3 linked regions of the Lepisosteus oculatus genome follow. The protein of the gene in region 1 binds, or shares a complex with, the protein of each later gene. Links are inferred from orthologs where the notes say so. Each region holds a gene or a part of one and is shown on either strand. Other genes may lie near its edges.

Evidence for each region. Proteins that work in one complex are often made in the same cells at the same time.
Region 2: strip2 (region 1) and stk26 share a complex: the UniProt entries of both Homo sapiens proteins name them as parts of the core of STRIPAK complex. The link is inferred for Lepisosteus oculatus from reciprocal best matches to the Homo sapiens genes STRIP2 and STK26.
Region 3: strip2 (region 1) and serine/threonine-protein kinase 24 share a complex: the UniProt entries of both Homo sapiens proteins name them as parts of the core of STRIPAK complex. The link is inferred for Lepisosteus oculatus from reciprocal best matches to the Homo sapiens genes STRIP2 and STK24.

The regions. Positions count from the first base shown.
Region 1 is NC_090702.1:33,448,496-33,455,547, forward strand, and holds the start of strip2 (striatin-interacting protein 1 homolog), read left to right. Parts: upstream 1-4,044; 5' UTR 4,045-4,122; coding exon 4,123-4,224; intron 4,225-7,052. UniProt on the Homo sapiens protein: Plays a role in the regulation of cell morphology and cytoskeletal organization. Required in the control of cell shape. Calmodulin-binding scaffolding protein which is the center of the striatin-interacting phosphatase and kinase (STRIPAK) complexes.
Region 2 is NC_090703.1:39,095,599-39,103,411, forward strand, and holds the start of stk26 (serine/threonine-protein kinase 26), read left to right. Parts: upstream 1-4,789; 5' UTR 4,790-5,275; coding exon 5,276-5,317; intron 5,318-7,813. UniProt on the Homo sapiens protein: Serine/threonine-protein kinase that acts as a mediator of cell growth. Modulates apoptosis. In association with STK24 negatively regulates Golgi reorientation in polarized cell migration upon RHO activation.
Region 3 is NC_090710.1:6,270,654-6,278,186, reverse strand, and holds the start of serine/threonine-protein kinase 24, read right to left. Parts: upstream 3,025-7,533; 5' UTR 2,366-3,024; coding exon 2,324-2,365; intron 1-2,323. UniProt on the Homo sapiens protein: Serine/threonine-protein kinase that acts on both serine and threonine residues and promotes apoptosis in response to stress stimuli and caspase activation.

The DNA.
Region 1 (7,052 bases):
AAAAGCAAAAAATAATCTGAAGGTTAACTAGTCTTCTCGCAACAATGGAATTTTGACCCTCTCATTTTATTCACTTTCAGGTTTAGTTTTTAATAAGAAACTGTCTTAAATCCTGGCTTTTCCACTTCATCCTTGCCGTGACAATCCAGTACAGCAATGAGAATATGTAAATGCATTGAACCAGATGTGTCTATCAGATTGAAAAAAAAGGTTCTTTAATATTAACATTTTCCTCTTAGTTTCCTCTTAATAGTCATGGTCTTCTCAGTGCTGCTGTCTTTACAAAACCAACCCTCCCTTCTGGTGAAATATGTTTTAAAGCAAATCAATTTTGTTTAAAAAAAAGTCTGTGTTATGTTACCATTGTCTTGGAGGGAAAGAGTCTGCTGGTGTTTGGGAATGAGTGGTTTCTTACACGAGGGTTTAAATGGAGTGTGAAGATAATGAACAGACATTTTTCTCAATAAAAAGGCAAAAACCAGGATATTTTTCATTTTAATTTTCTTTTTCCTTTGTTTTCTTAAAATTATGGGGCCACAGGTTCATATTAGAATGAAGCAACCTTCTTAACTTTCAGACTCCTTGTGAAATACAGGCTTTAATCGTGTTATCATTTGAAGTGCTTTTAAAAATATGGGATGCGTGAAGCAATCTACTTTAACTACCCCTAGCCATACTAATCAATAATTCATTCAGAGGATAATCCTAAATGAATATGGCAGAGGAGTACCTTTCACTTGTCACTGCAGAATGGATTTTCACCGAGTCCCACAGCATGTGTTTGACAGGACATGGCTTTTGTTCCAATTTAATGTACACAGAGGAATTCACAACGTTTTAATTATTTAATTTCTTCCTCCGAAAAATCTAATATTCAGCAAGACCTGTGGCAACTCTTAATCACTTTCAAAACACAAACATGTAATGGTGCTTTATATCTGAGGAATCTAATCCAAAAGATTCCAAAATATACCAATTGACTGGCAGGAGAGGAAATAGATAGAAGTATATAGGGATATACAGTCCCTGGCAAGTTATTCAAATAACTTCCTACGGTGTCCCATTTTGTGAAATTACAAAATTCTGCATAAAAGTATTTTAAACTTAATTCATTCAAAACCTGCATGCTCAAACTGAATACTTCTAAGGGTTAAAATAGGTTACAGTAAACATCAGTAAAAACTAAATTCAGGGGAAAATTTCAAACACATGAAAATAATGCAAGCACAGGAGACACAAGCACCGGGTCACGGAGCTAATGCAAAGACTGAACACTGCACTGCCACTGAAGCAGGAATAAATGCCCAGCTGGAAACAAGGAAAGTGCTGTTAATTATGTACCAGTGGTATGGTCAACCTTCCCAACCATGTTGCCATAGGAACGGGTTGATTGGAAGATTGATTCAGCGATTGACTACCAGTTTGGAGTTATGGGAGCTAGAAACAGCACTTACCCGGGCGTGGGCATGACATATCTATGTTCATTCAGACTTGACAAGGTTCCCCATCCTTCCTGATGAGAACTACTGTTATAACATAATGCTTGATAACAGGGGTGGTGTTGCCTGAGTGATGCACTGTGCTGAGTTTGCACCAGAAATAATGCTTTACATTTAGATCAGAATATTCCAATTTTGTTATGAAATGCAACCTTTTCCCACATGTTTGCAATGTCACTGAGGTGCTTTGTTGCAAAATCCATGTGGGATTTGTTTAGTTACACACCCCTTTGTGGAGTGACTTGAATATTGTAGACCCATGGATATTTTCTCCCATCTCAGCCACTGAACTCTGTAGCTCTTTTGAAGTTGCTTTTGGCCTCAATGTGGTGATCCTAGAAAGTTTCCTCTTTGTCCAGCCGTTCAGTCTGGAGAGCCATTTTGGAGTTTGATCTTGTGTTGTGACCTAGGCAGGGTTCAGGCACCTTCCACTTCTTAAAGACTGATTTAACAGATTGAGGTGAGATTCTACACAAAAACTCAATGGGAATGTTTTGATCATTGAAAGGCTCGTATGTGTGTTTAATTCTGTGAATCAATGAAATACTTGCAACCAAATGAACAAGACAGGTTAAATGCCCTTATTTTGTTTGGAACCTTTCTAAGTGTGTTTATATATTGAAAAGAGCACCTTACCTGTCAATTCATCCTGTCAGTTTTCACATTAAAAGAACAAAATGGTTTTTTTTTGTGACAATCTAAGGATATCTCACAGAGCATTGTACTATTATTATTATGCATATACAGTACAGGTAAGTGATCATAATTGAACCTAGTCTGGTAAATACAGAAGCAATTATAGACACGTTCAAATAGAGAGGATGTAGGGGGACTCTTTATCCACTGGTTATGTCAGCATTCAACTGAATTTTCTGTTTGACTGGGAGTTTCTTAGTATTCCACTCCTATAAGACTATAGAGAGGAACATGTCATATACTTTTACGTTAAAAGAGTTTGCACAAACCATATACAATAATGGGGCAGAGAATCACAAAACAACTAGATGAAGAAAACCAAAAGCTGTGAGAAACTGTTTTCTTACAGTGCCTACTGTAGGCCAATATGCAACAAAGGTACTGAAAATCAATAACATAAAAAACAGATCTGGCATTAATAGTGCAGACAAAGTGAGAGTAACTTCAAATCCCTGAGGGACTACTGTGTAGCTGCAGCACAAAAAGGCAATCAGAATCAAGGGAGACCATCAGAAACTGACTGGTAAGATCAGCACTAAAATCCTGTTGACACAGTGGGATTTAATCCAGTGCTCTATATAGGTTTAAGAACATTAGCATGAGTGCTAATGGAGCTCTGCTGATGTACATCAATAAACAAGAGAGGACCATGCTCATTATCTATCTCTGCAAGAAGTGTACTTGAATGCTACAGTTATGCATATCGGCTCTTTGTAATTATCAATGCCATTATAGACATAGTTAGAACACCAGTGATACAGCATTAGAACAAGTAAGGTTAATCAAAATATTTAAACCCACTTACATGAAATTGTGTGAAGTGGATACAGGATTAGCATTAGTTTTCCCTCACGCTTCTCTAATCTCTAAGTGTCTCATTGTCATAATTATTGGATATGCATATTTAGATTTCTGTGGGATATCAGTAAACTCAATTATCCATATAATCTATAATCAGGTTGTATTGGAACAAACCTTTATAACAACAGCAGTGTAACAGTTCCAGTGACCTTGTATGTTTTTGGTCCTTGTTTTTATGATCGGGTGATCAGTTAAGACCTAACTCATAGACGTGCGTAATGAAAGATGACAGAAATCTCACGCAAGTCATGAAAAAACAAGTTTCTTATCTTATTGATAGGAGACCAATTTTTTTTCCACTGAAGTACAGAAAGTACTTTTTAATATGCACTGAAATACTGTACATATTATCATAGCCATGCTTCCGTAGATTTAGCCTTTTCACTATCGGAATCAAATTTACTGAAAATACGTGTCTGTACCTCAATAAATTGCATTTTGTGTTCTCCACAGGCGACTTCGTGTCTCGTTTAAAGCGCAAAAGGCAGCAACTTCGGACAGTTTACGTACTTCGCTTCTTGGACAGTTTACGTTGGTCGGATTTGACACTTAGCCCTGCTTAGGAAAATGAAACTTCACGTCTTTAAAAGGTCTTGTATCAAACTGCCTAAGAGCTTATAGTGCTGAAGACATCTTAAAATGTGTAGTAATGGACTGTCGAATGAGGTCTTCCTATTTGTAATTAAAATATTTCGTCTTCCATGCAAATATACCATTTTGACACAACGCCGCTCAAGTTCTCTCACTTCACCGTGCAGATTGTGACTGACATCCATCCCAACTCACAACTGCTGCCTGTCCGAGGTATGCGTGCTGAGGAATCCCATAGCCGCCCTCCAAGCAAACGCAGCTCCCTCACCTTGTATTTTATCGCTGACAGGCCGGCCGACCACTTCCAGCCCCATCTGCCGTAAGCCACTGCCCACAGTGGGACAGCCCGACCAATCAGCCCAGGGGGGACGGATTTCCTGAACTCGGAATCCCCCAGCCAGCTCCAATGTGACAGATTCGAGTAACTGGAGGCAGTAGGTGAGCAGCTGTGAGGACAGAGAGGGGCCAGGGACAGATGCAGGGTGCCGAAATGGAGGGATCTAATAATAACAGCGGCAAACAGAAGCCCCTTCCGAAAGTGAGAGAACTATTCAAGAACCAGAGGAAAGAATCGGAGGTAGGAGCTGATGGATGAACTAGAGTCTGTGTGTAGAAGGTACTGTGTGTGCCCGATAGTTTTTGCGTGCCCTACCTCTTTGGAAAGCGTGCTTAATCTGAGTTGATATGTTGTGACAGCTCAGACTACTGCTAAAAATACATGTGTGAATGTGCGGGCACACAATGTAATTTGATGGCAGTGTCTGGGATAATTTTGTAGCTGGCAGCGTGGCGGTATCAAGCAGAATGATGGTATGGATTTTAGAGCTGAGGACTTGTTAAACTTATTCCAGTATTAATTGATTAATTTTGAAAGGGAGGGCACTCCTTCTACATTTAAGATATATGCAATGAAATTATTATAAAATGTAAAAGATTTCAAAGAAAATCATGTATTTAAATTTAATCAAAACAATCCCATTTATCAACAATTCTGATATGTTTTTTTTTATTTTTCTCGGAATGGCATTCCGCCATTATAAATAAGCATAAAGAAAAAAAACATGCTTTTTTAGACAGAAAAAAAGCATACGAGAGCGACAGTACTGAGTTGGGATATATATATATTATACTACCATTATCTAAAAACAGTATCTTGTTAATCAAATGTGAACACGTTTGCTACACACAGTTTTTGGAAACTAGTATTACATCACCTCAGTTAAGAGATTCCATATAGCCTACCTTTCAATATTCCCATTTAAAGATTGATTTGTGTAGTGTACAATATCCGTTAAGCTGTTTAAATGTGTGAAGTGTTTATTCATTCTGTCATTAAAAATGAGCAAAATCAGTGTTGAATAAAATTAGACCATTTAAACCATCCAGTTATTTAAAACATTAAAGTGCAAAGGGAGACATTTTGTTTTGTAATGATACCAATTTATTTATTCGTACTGTTTTAGCATAAACAAATATTTGAGAAATGGGAGCTCAGTGTCCCTCTAGTCTCACTTTTCTATCACAATGAAGAGAAGATGCTGTCTGATGAAAGGTAAACACTCAAGGGCAATACTTTCATATTCCATATCTTTCTTTTATTTACTATGACATAGTGCTTTTAGTGTAGACAGATGAATCTGAAATTTTCATCTGTTTTCGCCATTCGCCTGCATTTTAACCGATGATCGAAGGCAACATTTTCCAGTGTATTTCTATACTAAAGCAAGTTTTTAAGTAAAACGTTATCTAACCAAATTTTACCCTCTTTTCCTGCAGAAATAGGATTTTCATTCTAAGTATTCTCCATGACCAATTTTTTAATCTTACCCTCTCGAATCAGAAATATTGGGACTTTATTTGAAGAAACCTCTTTAGATGCACACAGATTTGCAGTACTCTAGCTCTGAGGAAGGAAATGTTTTTGAACAGCTGTGTTATCAGTAACTTGAAAGCAGACTATGTGAGAGAGCCATATTAAAGCCCATGGGTAGTGTCTCGGTAAAACTTACCTTTTTCAATAGATAATTTTATTTTCTCAGAGAAATAACCATATGAAAAAAGTCTTAGGTTTTCATTTCAGAATGTATAAAGAGAACTGATCTCATTATGAACTGAGGTAATTATCTGTGGTAAACATGTTTCATGTTACAACTAGGAGCTAATACTGTTTTATTCTTTTCATGTGATTCATCTTATTTTATTCTTGTAATTTGCATTGTTATTTGTTATATACAGTAGAATAAGTAATAGTGACCCTAATTCCCAGATTTTCGTAAAGAAGGCTTTGCAGTGTGCAGTATGATTGTTTTTTGTGAAACACATTCTTAAGGAGTAGAGATCGATTTAAGACACACATATTGGAGAGAAGACAAACCTAATTCAGAGATATTTATATTCTTCTGTGAAAACTGTGCTGAGCAGTGATGATTTTAAGGCACCAAATCCTTCACTGCATCTTTTCCACTATGTAATCCTCCCCAAAAAGGAAGACATCTTGTCAAAATATGTTCAATTCAGTAAAGTAAAGAAATGGGAGATTTCAGAAATATCAATTTTCAGATTAACAGTGGAACATCTCTTTGGATTAAATGTTTTTTCAATGAAGTCATTTGCACGAAGCAGACCTAGCTAGTAAACTATAATCTAAGGATTTCTCTTATCATGCAGTAACTGTTTCGTTGTCTTCTGAAATCTCGACTGTCCACTGTTGTTGAAAAAATAATTTAAAGTGAGTTTCATTGATGGCAGTAAGACTCCTATTGAACCATTTAGATTTTAAGATGATGTAAGTATTTTTCTGTTAGCCAACACCTGTTTCTTGATATTTCTTGTGCATTAACTTAAATTAAGTACATGAACACAAAGAGGTGCAATGATATTGTTACTTGATCTGGTGTTTACAGTATTACAGTGGCATTTATTGTTAGATACTTGTTTCCTATTTCCATCGGAACAAGATTATAAAAGTGCCTGAAGAGTGAAATATGAAATGGATTCATGTGTTGTGTACTAGGAGCCTTCTTTACATCCACAAGAACATAAGAATGTTTACAATCTTATGAGAAGGCAATTTGGTCCATACAGCCTATGGTAGTTGGTAGTTAAGTGATCCAAGGATCTCATCCAGCCATTTGTTGAAAGAAGCCAGAATGTTGCCCTCAAAACCAGCTTGCAGCCCTTTCCATACATCCACAATCCTTTGAGTAGAAGTGGGTAGAGTGAGAAGTGAGTTGAGTAGAGTAGAAGTGTCTCGTGTTCTTGGCTGTACTTTCATGCCATACTGTCCAGAATGATCCTGGCGATTATGTAATTTATTATCAAGTTTATAATTCCCCCACTTTGTATTTTTTTTCCTCTTAACCAACCAAATGTTCTGTGTTTGGAAGTCCAGTATTATTTTAATGA
Region 2 (7,813 bases), on another chromosome or scaffold:
AAAATAGATGGCACCTACTGCAACTGAAGGACAAATATCATATATTTGGAAAGTAGGAATATATAGGACTGTAGGAAAGTCCTCCTGTTTTTCCATGTGAAAACGTTCCAGGAGGGTGTAGGGTATCCAGAAGCAGCTCCAGTCCTAACCTTCTCCCCTATCCTCCACTAACTACCTCCACTGAACTACACTACAAACCTGCACATTACCTGACTTTGAACTTTGTTCAATACAAAGCACAAAACTGCTGTGCTGGAGGGGCTATGAAATTGAAAAAGTGCCTTATATTGTGATTTTTTTCACCTCATAACTTAGTGCTTTATCTTAATATTTTGTATGACCCTTAGTTATGAAACTTGTGTACTGTTCAAATTTGTGGTGTCTATTCGTTTAGAACAGGGGTCTCCAAACCTGTGGTCCCCTATTTTTAAAGGGAAACTGAAGTCTCGATTTCTGAGAGCTATTATTAAATCTCGGTAACAAAATAAATTCATTGACAGCATGGAAAAAAAATTACAAGTTTCGAATTCCAAATTCATTAACTTTGTGAAAGTACTGTAAGTCTCCATGTTGTTGCAAACCCCTGGTCTCACCGTCAGACAAGAGCGAGATTTTGTAAGAATTGTGATGTGATGCAGCCCTTCCTGCTCACTAGTCACTGTAATGACTAATGTAATATGATGTACAGTAAGAACGCATACATACAGATTGTGTAGCAGACATTTCTCGGCAGAAGTGTTCCAACGTGGTCTGCATGCAGAGTTAACAAGTAAGTACTATTTGTCGGCAAAACCGTCTCGAAATAGAGAGCAATATTTCTGTTGGATTACAAGAGATGTATTCACAAGCCTGCTAGTTAACAATGTAATAGGGCTGGTTCATGTCATTGGCTGTTTTGTTGCCTCATTCTGAATTGCAGAATATGACTGGGTGCACCTGGAAATTTAGTCTATTTGATGTAGGTTGGAGGTTTGAAAGTTACTGTGTACATTTTACATTTATTATGGTTTGAAATATTCTTTCTTACACCGAACTTTAGAAAATATGGTTGCAACTACCCCCTTTCAAAACAAAGCAGGTGATAAATCAAAAAATGAATCTGCTCAATCAAGAATACTTAATTTTTATCATTAAATCGCTTAATTTCTCAAATCACCTGTTTAATCTATCGCAGTTGATCTATGGCTTTAGAAATTGGTAATTTAATGGTGACTTACAAAACCTCCTGAATTGGGGCTGCCTAGAATCAGGGTTCAAGACCCTTGTTTTAAAATGTAAGTTTAATAAAAGGAAAACTTTGCTAAGGTTATTCGTGCAAGACAAGGCACAGTCAGAATAATGGAAATGTTTTTTAAAAAATCTAATATGGTCACCACATTGTGACCTAGAGTCTGACCTTTTTACCTGTTACTATTGCCAATGGAATTATGAAAGCATGTTTCATTGGTTAATTATAGGGATTTTATAGTCATTAAATTATTTTTCACTACAAAATCTATAATAATAAATAGGTCTTCAGGAACTCTGTTGCTAAGCCCCCTAATAAATTGGACATACTGTACAAACAACCTGTCGTCTGAACTACTGTAGACATCAGGTTCAGTTGGGGATTTGACGTTTATATTCTATTTAGAAGAATAATGCAAATATTCCTTGGCTCTGTTCTTTCTCTATATGCGACCATGCTATTTAATTTTGACTTTATGCCAGCAGAGCGTAATCACAGAATTGCGTGCTTCAAATCACATCTTCAGCTGTTAAACGCACGACGCAGTCCTGTTAAGGAGATGCGAGCGGTTGGAGAGTTTGTCAGGCAGGGAGTTCCCTTTTCATTGTGATTTAAGTTAAACATGTTACTTCATTCCACCTCCAAAGACCAGACATTACTGAAAGAACAGAATCAAAGCGGTAATTCTGAGGCAAAAACGCTAAAGTTATTTAACAAACGTCTCCACAGCCCACCACATTCTCCAGTCAGCTCACCATAGAATATATAATTAACTAATACAATACTAAAAACATATGCAGTTTATAATGTTACTGTCTTAAATTGCTGTTTTGTCATTCACAATAAAACATACTGTACTTCTTGAACTGTACCGTCATCAACCAGCAGATGGAGACAAACGTTTAAAACCTAACATTTGTTTTCGGAAGTGGCGTTGTTTTAGATCCGTACTAATGCACTGATACTTGATGTAGCCTGTGCTGTTTCTTCGTTGGGCTGTAGGTGGCGTACGAGTGTTATTATACAATATAATAATAATAATAATAATAATTGCTTACACTTATATAGCACTTTTCTGGACACTCCACTCAAAGCGCTTTACAGGTAATGGGGACTCCCCTCCACCACCACCAATGTGCAGCATCCACCTGGATGATGTGACGGCAGCCATAGTGCACCAGAACACTCACCACACATCAGCTATCAGTCGGGAGGAGAGCAGAGAGTAATGAAGCCAATTCATAGATGGGGATTATTAGGAGGCCATGATTGGTAAGGGCCAATGGGAAATTTAGCCAGGACACCTGGGTTACACCCCTACTCTTTTCAAGAAATGCCCTGGGATTTTTAATGACCACAGAGAGTCAGGACCTCGGTTTAACGTCTCATCCGAAGGACGGCGCCTGTTTACAGTATAGTGTCCCCGTCACTATACTGGGGCATTAGGACCCACATGGACCACAGGGTGAGCACCCCCTCCCATCCAGGTGCTGACCAGGCTCACACCTGCTTAGCTTCAGTGGGTTGCCAGTTGTGAGTTGCAGGGTGATATGGCAGCTGATATATTATATTATAAGTATCTTTATAATAGGATATGGTGTGCGTTAGAAACGCAAAAAACGAAGGTTTGTACTTTTAGATGAGTGTTTTGGAGGATTTGACGGTGCTCACATAAATTCAGAAGAATGAGAAGATGGGTCTTTGCTTTTTTTAGTCCCCTAAATGTCTAGGGTGAGGTACAAACCCCCAGACTCTGCTATACAGACAGATACTTTGTAAGCATATGGGCCACTAACACTTAACATTACAAGCACCATGAACAGGCAATTAAGCATACTCACAAGACCTTTGAACCCTTCACTCAGTCTGGACTGTCACAGTACTGTATGATAATGAAGTCCACTAGTACTTAAAATCAATTAGAGCCCAGCTGCAGTCCCATCTCCTACCTCTAGGAGTCCTCATTCTTCATTCTACTGTGTTCATAGGACACGAATGCCCCCAAACTGATGTCAGATGCTTTTGTTCCAGTGCTAAACGTAGAGAGTATTTTATTCTCTGATAGTATCTTTAATTATGAGTAAGAACTAAGCCTTTTTTCTTAAACGTATCTTACTGAGACATTTCTTAGTCTGACCTCGCTGTGACATTCACATTTCCTGCTGTGTTGACCAGCTTGTGAGCTGTCCTTTGTAGTCATACAACCTACTTTGCCTTGACGTCTTTAAATAATTTTTAAAGGATGAAGATAATAATGTGGGTTTCTCAATTTCTTCTCGTACAGATATTGTTGTGCCTGTACTTGACAGTTTTGGCTTCAGATCAGACAGGTGTGTGCTGCTTGTCTGTACAAAAGAAACACACCTTACCGCTGGGCTCGTAACAGCGGGGTATGATGAGGATCAAGCAAACACCATGGAGCAGGTTGGATACAGGGGGAAATCTCTTCCACAAGTCCTTTTAAAAATAAAATCCAACCAAAACATCAACAAAGATAAAAGACAATTATTCTATCAAGAGGTTCAGAACTGCCATGCTTCTCGATACATTAACTTCTTTTAATTCACTGGAATTTTAATTAACTGGGATTTAATGGAAGCAGGTGGCGGGCTGTTTTATACTTCCATTAATATTTTTAAAATAAGGCATTATGAATCTTATCAATGTAATAAAAGTAAATCAATGTACAGTATTTTAATGAGAAAGGTGTGACCATGTACAGTATCTTTATAGAAGATTTGCTTATATACCGTTTGGAAAACGGAAGTAAGGCGAAGCAGTAAAAAAATAAATTAGTGCTCCCGAAAAAATAGAAAAAAATAAAACTGGTGAAATGTAAAAAATATCATATGGATTGAGGGGAAAGCCTGAGCCTAAAAAACATCAATACTAAAACGAAAACGAGAGCAATAGTTTTAGATTTAGCTGAAGAGTAAATCTTTCTTCCTAATATTTTATTTCCTGACACCTTTGATTAATGAAATGTAATGTTTCGTAGTAATGTTAGTTCATGCACTGTGTCCCCTTTTATACAAAAATCCCAATAATCTCTCAACGTTTTTTGTCATACATAAAATGTATTTGTCAACGTTGTACATCCTTTCAGACGAACTCTTTTGCTCATCAAAATGTGGGTTTATTTTTAATCCCCCAGTTGCTCCCTTTTCTGGCATATTCGATCACTTTTTAGCTGCAGAGCATTTCTAGAACTGAGAAAGAAATCTTAACTCAAGTTTGCGTCCTTCTTGGTGTCTTAAAGTACCACGGCTGTTAATTCAAAACTTTAATTCAGTTTAAATGACCACTAACTAAATCATTGCTATTTAAAAAAAAGAACTGTGAAACGGCCTGCTAAACAATATTTATCGTTGTTTGTGTCGAGCTCGTATCGCCGAAAGCCTTGAAGTGCGACTCTTACAGACGATGAGAGAAGGGCACATCAAGCAGTAACTGATGTGCACTGTAATCAGGCCTGTCCTGTCGGGAAGCGCTACGTTAGCAAGGTATAATGGTAAAACACGCCTCTCGCAATCCCGCACACACTGTAGTCCCTAGCAGCAGCGGCAAGCGATGACGTCTGTGAATGTGGTGTGTGTTGACTCTGGCTCAATAACACGGCTCCACCCAATTTAACACAGCGAGCAAGTAGCTACTTTAGGAAGCCAAACATGGCGTTTGCATCTCAGTTCTGAGATGCTGTTCAAGTGTTGCTTCGTGAAGAAAACACGAGAACAGCACCTAGGAGGTCACAAAAGCGACCGTAAAGCAAAAGGGCGCAGTGAACTGACAATCAGCCGACAAGGCATGGGAGCTTGGGCAGACTAGCAGTGAAGAGGGGTCTAGGCTTAAGCAAAGTTAAGCGGGGGGATAGCTGCAGTGTATGTAAGGGAATAATAATACTAGTGAGAAAACTTTCAGGCACGCACAGCGTTGCGACAGCTGCTCCTCGTTTATTTGCTTGGTGCAGCCTAAAAGCAGGAGAGAGGCTAAAAGGAGAATATAGCGCTGCTTTGGGGGAAAATATATCATTTTGGACTGGACGTGAAGATGGCCCACTCGCCGGTAGCAGTCCAAGTGCCAGGGATGCAGGTAAGTAAGGCCTCGTTATACAAACTTCACCTACGGCACTGGAAATTGCCCACACAGCACAGGAATTGCGCATATGCGGCTCCTGTTGACTCCGAGCGCTTCAAACCGGCGGATTGGCAGCCAGTTTGCTAGCCCTGGCTTTATTAAACAAAAGCCCAAAGCCGTGGCGTTATCACAGTCATTTTAAAATTTGTTTTCAACGGTTCGGTTTCTGAATCATCACCGTGGTACAAAACGGGAAACGAGAATTATTCTTGTTCAATGGGTCTAAACCACACAGATTAGCCGATCACTCGCGTACTCTAAAATATTGGCAACGCAAGCGCATCCCCATAATGTATTTGTGAACTTTGAAGTTTCTCTCGGCTTCTGTGGTCATGCAGCCTTTGTGATTAAACTGTGCGATTTATCTGCGCCGAAAATAACTTGCTGCGTTTTAGAGTCGCCTCCTTTTCTCCTGTTTTTGAACTTCGGCCAGCCGTTAATTTTAGCCTGGTCTAAAACTTTACGTACAAATCAATTAGCTAGGATCTTCCGTATTGTCAAGTTGGCTGTGTGCGCCTTAGTGAAGAAGAGAGGACAAAATAAACCCTGCTATTTGTCGTGATGGTACAGGTTTGCATTATACATTTGTGCACTATGATCGCTGTAAACAGAGACGATTCAGGTGTTTCGGTAGTAGTACAGGGTACGATTAACTGGTACTTAATGTACCTTAAAAGCACAGGAATGGTTGTAATTCAAATGTCAAGTACAGGTTTAATGTAATCGGAACTGAAATCCCAACAAAAATGTAGTTTTTATTTATCGTTGTGACGTATTTTTATTGTTTTACTGTTGTCGATGAAGAATGTGTCGGTTAGACGTTGTTCCTACGTTTTATTACAGAGCGGGCAGGCAATGTTTAAATGGGCTTTAAGGTACTAGTTACGTGCTTATAGCGAGTCTCCGGGCATGTTAGTGTCTGCTTGTCTGCCCTTGGTACATGTGATCCAGGACAGTTAAAATTACGTAGGCTTCCTTTTTTTCACGAATGTTTTGCCACACACTTTCCAACCGTCCGTGGACGTCTGCCTTCCAGCCGGAAGCATTGGCTAGTCGTTTCAGTTTGAATTCCCTGTATACTGTAAAACCTAGCCACCTCCGGGCACACTTAAGCGAGCATTGTGGAGTTTAAGAGAAACCACAAGAGCAATCTGTAAGCCCTGGTAAAGTTTTAAGCCTCACACACCCAACAGGTGTAATTATTTCTGCTGACCAGGCATTCATTAGTCACACCCATTATTAATAATTAATGGGGAAGATCCACTTGTTATAGATGGAGAAATACCCTCATCTTGGTTAAGTTGATCTGACAGTTCCAAATAAGGTACTGAAGTGCCAATCAGCGTTATTAAGATGGTCATTACAGCAGTGTAAATGGCTTGCATTTAAGAATTTTTATTTGGTGTTGTATTTTACGAATGGTTTATGGTCTTCAGTTTGATCGGATTGTGTTGAGTCATTGCCCCTGAAACTAATTGGAGTTACTCATTGCTGGGCAGTTACAAGCTACAGGACACTGTAGCTAAGGAGTGGCTTGAGATTTATTACTGGATTAGAGAACAGCAACATGCCCAATCTGTTTTATGATTTAGGTGTGCCCCTTTCCTATAATTACCATTCAGTTAAAAAAGAAAGTGAAAGCAGCTGTGAATCTTCAGGTTTTTCTTCTTGAAGTTGATCATTTAAATCCGTTTATGATAAACCCTTTCCCTGTCTGTAATAATGTAATAGCATGCCCATGGTGGATTAGACTCCTGGAAATTAGTTTTGTGTGTATGTGAGCCTTTTCATGAAATAGTCACCAGTCTTTTTTACTAATTTAATTGTGTATGAGAGACCTTTCCCCTGTCCTTGTTTGACGGTGGGGAGTGAAGCTGGTAGCTGTGCTTTGCCTAGGATAGAACAGCTATTTAATTTAATGCTATCACTTTAAATAAATTCTCTGACCCCCTGCCAGACTGAGAATATAATTAACAGGTGTTAGAATTTGTTTAAACAGAACAGTACATTTTACAAAGGTGTAGGTGTAGAAGCGAGCCTGATAATGGTTTAAGTAAATCATGTATCAAGCAAGACTTAAGGTATACATGTATGCTGTACATACAGTAAATAGACATCCTAGTCTGCACTAAACGCATGATTATTAATGATTATTACAAAGAACTGTCTAACCATGGGTAGGTGATTTGTAGTATTCTCCTTGGCCTTCCATTGAGGAGCAGAGCCCTTTCGCAGTGCATTGAAAACATCTGGAAACCTGAAGTATTTGCAACCTGCTCCCGGCACATATTTTCAAAGGGGGAGTTCCAGGTTCCAGGGAATTAGTTTAATTGGACACAGGAGAAGGACAGCACCCTGATCGTTTGTTTTTGTACACTTTAGGATAGAGCAAGCCTTGTGTGCTTTTTGATCACCATCTGGACAGCCTCAAATACCCAACTGCTCACAATC
Region 3 (7,533 bases), on another chromosome or scaffold:
TAGACTGCAGGTAGCTACAAATTAAGTTTTTGAGGACAGAAAGGCGAGAAAGTAAAGCCATCCAGCTGCTGGAAGAGAGGGCTGCCTGGGACTGAACATTGTAACTTCTGTTATGTGAGCTCTACCATGGGAAACAGGTAGAGAATGTAAAAGGAGAGAAAAACTCCAAATGCACAAGGCTCAACTTTTGAATGAGGCCAGAAGTGTGCACAGACGTCACACTATGACGACTGTACAATCTCCGCTGTTTAAACTGCAGCATTCATTCTTAGGAGTCTGAATGTGTCGGCTGAACTCGGGATGAGAGATTTAATTTATCTACATCATGTTCTACACAAAATGACTAAAACATACTTTGACACGCTAAATAGTTGTCATGCCAATGTTATTTCCTGTTCAGTCTGCTTGAAAATGACTAATTTAAGTAACAGGTAATGCTGAAACATCCCTTTAGTTCCCATGTTCTGATAGCTATTGGAAATTAATAATCAGAATGCTTAGTCCTAATTTAAGTTAAAGGATTGCATTTTTGGATTTAAAACTATCTGGAATAATTCAGAGATAAAACATTTTATGCACACTATCTCACATCCTTTTAGATGGCACTTAAAAAGTTAAAAGATAGCATGAACTGTAAATGTCTAGCTCTGTAAAATAGTCTTGCGTGCAGAAAGTGGAGATTTATTTCTGAATAGAAGTAGCAAAAAGGAAATCTATACAGTACACACTGTGAACTTTAGTTTCTACATTACAACAAAGAACATGCCAAACATCTCTTTTTGCAAGGTTTACAACTTATTTTGTAAATTGTGGTGTTATTTCTAGTGTAATCATTAGGATGTCACATGTAAAGACATGCAGAAGCAAAGCATTTAGTCATTCAGTCCCCCTTCAACGGTCAACGTTTTTAGCTAAATTTCTTAGAATACTAGGAATTCTGCTGAATACAAGCCTGATTGGGGGAAACACTTCAACAACCAATTCAATCCCAGATACATAATGAGGCCCCAATGACGTACAATTTGCCAATGTGTCAATTATGGATGACATCACAGCTTCACAGCCATAACTAGAGAGAATTTTCTACTTAACACTTGTTAAGGCGGAAATCCATTAATCTCTAAACAGCCTTTGTAGTTGAGCAATTGAGCAGCCTGAATGCAGTAATGCATTCATGTCAGCCTGAAACGTACTAAAAGGTTATTTCGTATTCCTTTAGGTCTTATATTATCTTAAAGTGATTCCTTTAAAAATATTTTTTTTTACCACGTCGGTGCCGAAAGCAAATAGGCATTTAACATAGCAGTTAGGTGACGATTTACTCTGTGATCATCTACTTGGTTAATACAGTAAAAAAGTGCACGGAATCAAGACACTGACGACCTTAAATTAGAGGCACCTTTTCTGCGTAACTGCAAAAGGATTCAAATTTTCAAGTCGTCTGCTGACAATTCCAACAGCATTGTAATTAACGTTATATTTTAATCTAACCCTTGTTCTTTACAATACGTCCCAAATAGAACAACTGTCCAATCAAAAATTATATTTATTGATTAAATAACCCCACAACGAAGCAAACTCTACTGCTCTATGTAAAGGTTACACTCGGTACACCATCCTGCTACAAAGAATACGGCATGAGTGCTCTCCTTTACAGGCCAAAATCGTCAAAAAAAATGTTGAAAGTAAACATCCTCAAGGGCGTCTCTTCTACCCTCAACTATTCAAAGGTTTAACCCCTAGAAAAGATGCATATCTACCGTCCTTATATCTAACTCTTGCAAAGTGCATTTGTCGTTAAAGGCAAATGCTGTACAGACCCTCTTTTCCTGTTAGTGTTCTTATGTTTCGGCTGTTAACAAACGCAACATTCCGCTAGGAAATTAAGTACAGCAATGCACATTGCACTTCGGTGGTCCTGTCCCTACGGACGGCTCTCAATTACTCCAGTGCCCCGGAGAACACGGGACTCGAGCGGGTAAGGTCTCACAGGCCTCTCGTAGTCCCCCCACTTCCTCGCTACTCCTACACTTAAAAGTGCAGGAAGGGGGAAATGTTTGCATCACCAAAAGCAACATCTCTACAGAGTCGAAGCCGGCTGGAGCGCCACGATTTCGAGTAATGTGCTTTCGTGTACTGCTGGGCACAACGTCTCACCGCAGTTCTCCGCCTAGTGCGATACAATATTGCCGCTTGGCAAGCTACAGATGTTTTTAAGTAACGATTGTGTCTTGTTTGCCGCGGTACGCATTTCAGGGTCGTGTAATGTTTTTCCCACTTAGTAGGTTGAACATTTAAAGAAAACGGAAGGTGAATGTCTTACCTGCATCCCAGGCAGGCCAGTCTGCACCGGGGAGTGAGCCATGGCGTACAGCAGTTTGAGCCCGAGAACTTGTCAAGAAACAACAACACGATCTCCTAACTCGGATCCCAGCAAATGCGAATTTGTATATTCCTGTCCTCTTTGATTTGTAGGTTATGTCCTGTAGATACGAGAATTTATCCACAGAAAACAATAAATTTAAAAAAAAATCACAGACTGACTTCTGGCAGCCCGGATCAGGTTTACCCAGCTTTCCGAAGGGTCCTTCCCTTTTTTTTTGTTTGGATGAAAACCAAACTATTTACCCCCAGAACATGAACTACAAAAATAAAAAAATAAAAATCAACGCATACGGATCACAGTCCGAGACAGTTTTTTTAAAATATACGCGCCGGTGACGTGCTGTGCCTCGGCATTTTATTTTTTTCACGAAAGGGAGCGCAGGCTTTTTGCTTTGGTGTGCAATTCGTCTTCCGTGGACAGATCTCCCACCGTAACACACAAACAAGGGTGCATGTGCTCCGCTACCATCCCACCACTGCTTGTCCAAAAAGGTGGCGCCCGTGTTTCGAAACCCACCCTACAGTAGCGCTTAAAATGATAATCAGCGTTAGAGCAGTTACGATATATTATTGTGTTGTCCTCCTCACTCTGCTCTCCTGCCCTCCGCCATCTTGTCAGCACTGTCACTCTGACATCAGGGCGGATCCGGGCTCCCAGGCCCAGTGGCGCTCCTGCACCGGCAGAGGGAGCCACTCTTCCCGGCTCGCTCGGTCCTTCACTCCCGGGCAGAATGTTGGCCAGCCTCTACTCTGCTCTGCTGTGCAAAAGTAATAATAATAATTAATAATTGCTCGCACTTATATGGCTCTTTTCTGGACACTCCACTCAAAGCGCTTTACAGGTAATGGGGTCTCCCCTCCACCACCACCAATGTGCAGCATCCACCTGGATGTGTTATTTTAAGCTTATGCAATTACATTCGCCCGAAACGTGCAGTTGTTATAATATGCACAGGATATAATATGCACGTTCGAGCACAGGATTTGTGACAGAAATGATATAAATTTGATGGCTGTACAAAAAAAAAACCCATAAACCATTGAAGATTAACTTAATATTCATAGACGGGTGTTCTCGCCTAGGCCCCCCAAGGAAACGGAAACTTTAACCCATGTAATGGTAACCGTAATGGTGGCGCATTGGTTAGTATTGCTGGGGCCCTGACTTCAATTTCTGCGCTGCTGTCTGCGTGGAGTTTGTCTGTTCTGTCCGCGTTCGCACGGGTTTCCGTTTACCAAAAACGCTGTAGGTGATTTGGCTTCCCGCTAAGGTTCTAGGTGTAACTGGGTGGCTCCCCCGCAATCCTGAATTGGAAAAAGTAATTAGAAAGCAGATGGATGTAGTATTTATGTAAAAAAAATGCATGACTGCTGGTCGGTACAATGACCATACTTTTGGACCATTTTTTTCAAATATCTTGTCCACTTGGGTCACGTTGTTGATGCAAGTTTGCACAACAAAGGTGTGAATTAGCACACGCAATGTGCGGTCGTCTACTATATTGTAATGGAGATTATGATTAATAAGGATGATTATTTGACTCCTACTTTTTGTTTTACTTGCATTTATGCTGGCTACCGCAAATATGTAATACTCGTGATGAAATAACCACACACATGCCTTTTCTCCGTGATCGAGTTGCTGACAGAAGTGAAAATCTAGTTTCACCTGTCCAGCTGGACGTACTGTACCTTGTGCAAAGCTTTTGGTTCAAGAGAAAAAGCGCAGACCATTAACACTGTAGCCATTTTCTCAGTGCATCGCCTGGACATGCGATTATACCGTTCAATTTGGGTTCTGTCCGATTCCTACAAATCTCCAACAGTGACTGTACTGGGGAGTAAATTAAGGAAACAGTTCAATATATGGAAAGTGTCATGTAATTTGTTCACGGCTTTTGTTCATTAAGTTAGGAAAAAATTCACAACAAAACTTGTGCTTCACACTTGCTCTTTATGTAAGACAGTCACGTAGTCAAAAACAAGTAAAAAAATAAAAAAGGGTCAACATTAGTGAAAAACTATATATTGTTATCAAGATATGGAGTTTTAAAATTATTTATTAAAACAACAAAAGAAGGCGATGATGGAAATACAGTGCCCTCTGGTTGAAAAACCAGGAATTCGGGTGGTGTGGGTTTGCGGGCTAAGATGACTCGTTTCTCTCATAGTGACGGCGGGAAAATGTATATTTAAATAGCATGCACCTAATTATTAAATAACACACCTGCAGTAGGCTCCACGCCTTCTGCTTTTCAGCATGGAATTAACATCTGCTTGTTCCTTTAATTATTAAAGTGACATGTTAACCTGTATGGTGCATGACAAACATGGCATGCCCACGAAGATTATATTTTATATTTTTATTATTACATTGGATCTTAGTTCCTGAGGAATTTATACCTGAATTTCCGATTATTGTATTTTCATAAAGGAAAAAAATAATTAGGCACAAATTAAATAGTAAGCCAGTACAAAAAACTTGGCTCTTCTAAACACAAACCCAGTGTACATTCTCTCCATAAAAGAGCCTTTTAGGCTATATACAGTAAAACATTATTCAGAATAAATTATGTCATGTACAGTAGCTGGATATATTGAAAACTAGAGTCATTTTTAATTCTCCCATCCAAAGCAAACCATACACTTACTGAATCATTTACCATCACATTAAACAAAATGTGATTATGTGACAGCTGGGATCAGATCGCCATCTCTTAGCAACATGCCAGTTTTGTTCCGCTCAGCACCTCCTCAGACAGTGGTGAACTCCACTATGTCAAAAGGCTGGGCCTCCCTTCATAGGAGAATTCAACACCACACAGTTTCTCTAGGGATCACGTTGTAACTGGCTAAACAAGCAGTTACAGACAGTGTTACAGTTACTTCTTGAAATACACTTCACACCTGTGTCACATAGGCTCAAAACATCAACTAAAAATAAGTCCCAAAATAAAATACATTTCACATTCTAATGAAGATAAGTAGATCAGCTTCAAATGAATAGAGTTTTTCGTCCACAAAGCAAATTAAAGTTTTTTTTTGTAAATACAAAGTTTTTCTTTCTGGAAAATGATAGTTTTGTGTAAAATGTCATGCACTAACACTGACTCCCCAACACATACACGTGTTGTGTACAATTATGATCCAGCAAACCTTTTAAAACATCAGGTAATTAAAAGGGCCTTGAAGACATTTGATGTCTATTAACGAGAGTTTAAAAGATAACAACAGGAGGATACTTAAGTGGTTTGAGTACAAATGTTTACCTAGTATTGATTCTCTTTCACAGTGTACATAACTGCTTTTGCTTTTGAATTCTCTTACTTGGAGTCTTATTGAGATATCATCCACAGTAATACATAAATATGAAACAACTGGAACAGATATAATAAGCACAATGACAAATTAACTACTGTATAACTGGCATTGATGACAAACTGAAAGATGACAAACAAAAAGAAAAATTCGGCAGGTCCATTCATTGACTTTTACATTTTAAATAAACACGAAATCATTAAGCATGCTTAATACTGCTTCAAAATGATCAGGGCATTAAGTAAGATTGCATCTTGATTTCACAAAGAACAACAAGCATATCTTTTCTGGAAACATGTGTAATTTTTCATTTAAAATATTTATACGTATTATTTACCTATGCATATTAATATCACAGGGAGAAAAAAAAACATGGATGGAAATATAGCCATAACTGAATTTATTGAAGTCTTTCTTGTGCAAAATGAAAGAGAACATCTCGTATAAAATGAGGTCAAATCTATTTTTAGCCCCAGATTTTGATTTGAATAACTGGGGCTTTATCTTAAAAAGAGTCTCTGATACATACACTTCAGAACTGTTTCATAACGCAAGGATGGCCGAATCTGTGCAGCTGAAAACACTCCATAGTCTGTTCAGATGATGTTTGTTTGTATGTTTATTAATAAGGAAATATAATGCCGGAATCAAACACTTTGAACAACAACAATTAACTGGAATTATTAATATGATGAAGCAGCAAATAATTTAAAAGCATTTAAAGTCAAGCCAATAACAAAGATATGCTTGATGGAACTATACATTAAAAAGTTTCTTACATGCATCTTAAGAAGCAGTGATCTACTCGGTAATACGATGCAGTATACTACTGGCACGGTAAAGCATGTTTGGAACAATAGGAATTATATAAGAAAATAACGGACAAGCATGGTAAAAACACAATATAACCTGGGTAAAACTATTAGAAGCACAGCACTACTGTTAATGACATCTCTTGTGTTCTGCTGTTTGTCTCAGATTGTCAGATACCAAAGTGTTCCAGGAAAAATTAGCAACTGTGATGCAATGGCTGAAATAACCGATGAGACGATTTCATATAGAGTTTTTACAGTTTAAGCTTTGTGCAAAACATTAGTACACCGTGTTATATGAGACTGTATGAAGTATGTTGCTGGACAGATAACAAGATATTACTTCAAAACACTGCTTCACCAGATGAACTATATTTTTATAAATTTGTAAGGGGGAGCAATTGTTTTTTTATTTTAAATTAAATTGGGTCTCAGATTATTAGATTAAATCCCCAGAAAAGTTCAACTGATTTTGTTCTACAAAGGTTCTCCATTTAGCATTCTCCGTTGAAAAAGTAAACAAAAAAAACACTGGCTTCCCCAGTTCCTCTACAGAATAAATTCTACTGACTGTTATGATTTATGTTTCATGGATGTAGTCATCTGCTTACCCAGGACCCTCTGCTAAGATGATACAACTCAGGGCACTTAGTGTTTCAGTCTACAGCTCTGGGTTTATCTATCATCTTGTGAGATTTAGAAGCTAACATGCACAATTTGGAGTTTCTGACTGAAGCTCAGGGCACATATCTTTATTTTCATCCAGGGTTTGTGGGTGGTACCTTGGGGTACTGAGTCCAGTAGTCTTAGGGAAATACAAGGGGCACTTAGCTCTGTTGATAATGCACAAAACACTTAACCTCATTTACCTAATATACATCAAATGGTACCACAAAAGGCAGCATTTGTTTTTTTTTCTATACTTGTTTGTCATAGTTCTGTCATTGCAAGAAACTAACTTGCAATGAGAGGGCATAAATGATCCATACTAGGACGACTGCTAAAAGAAAACAAGTCA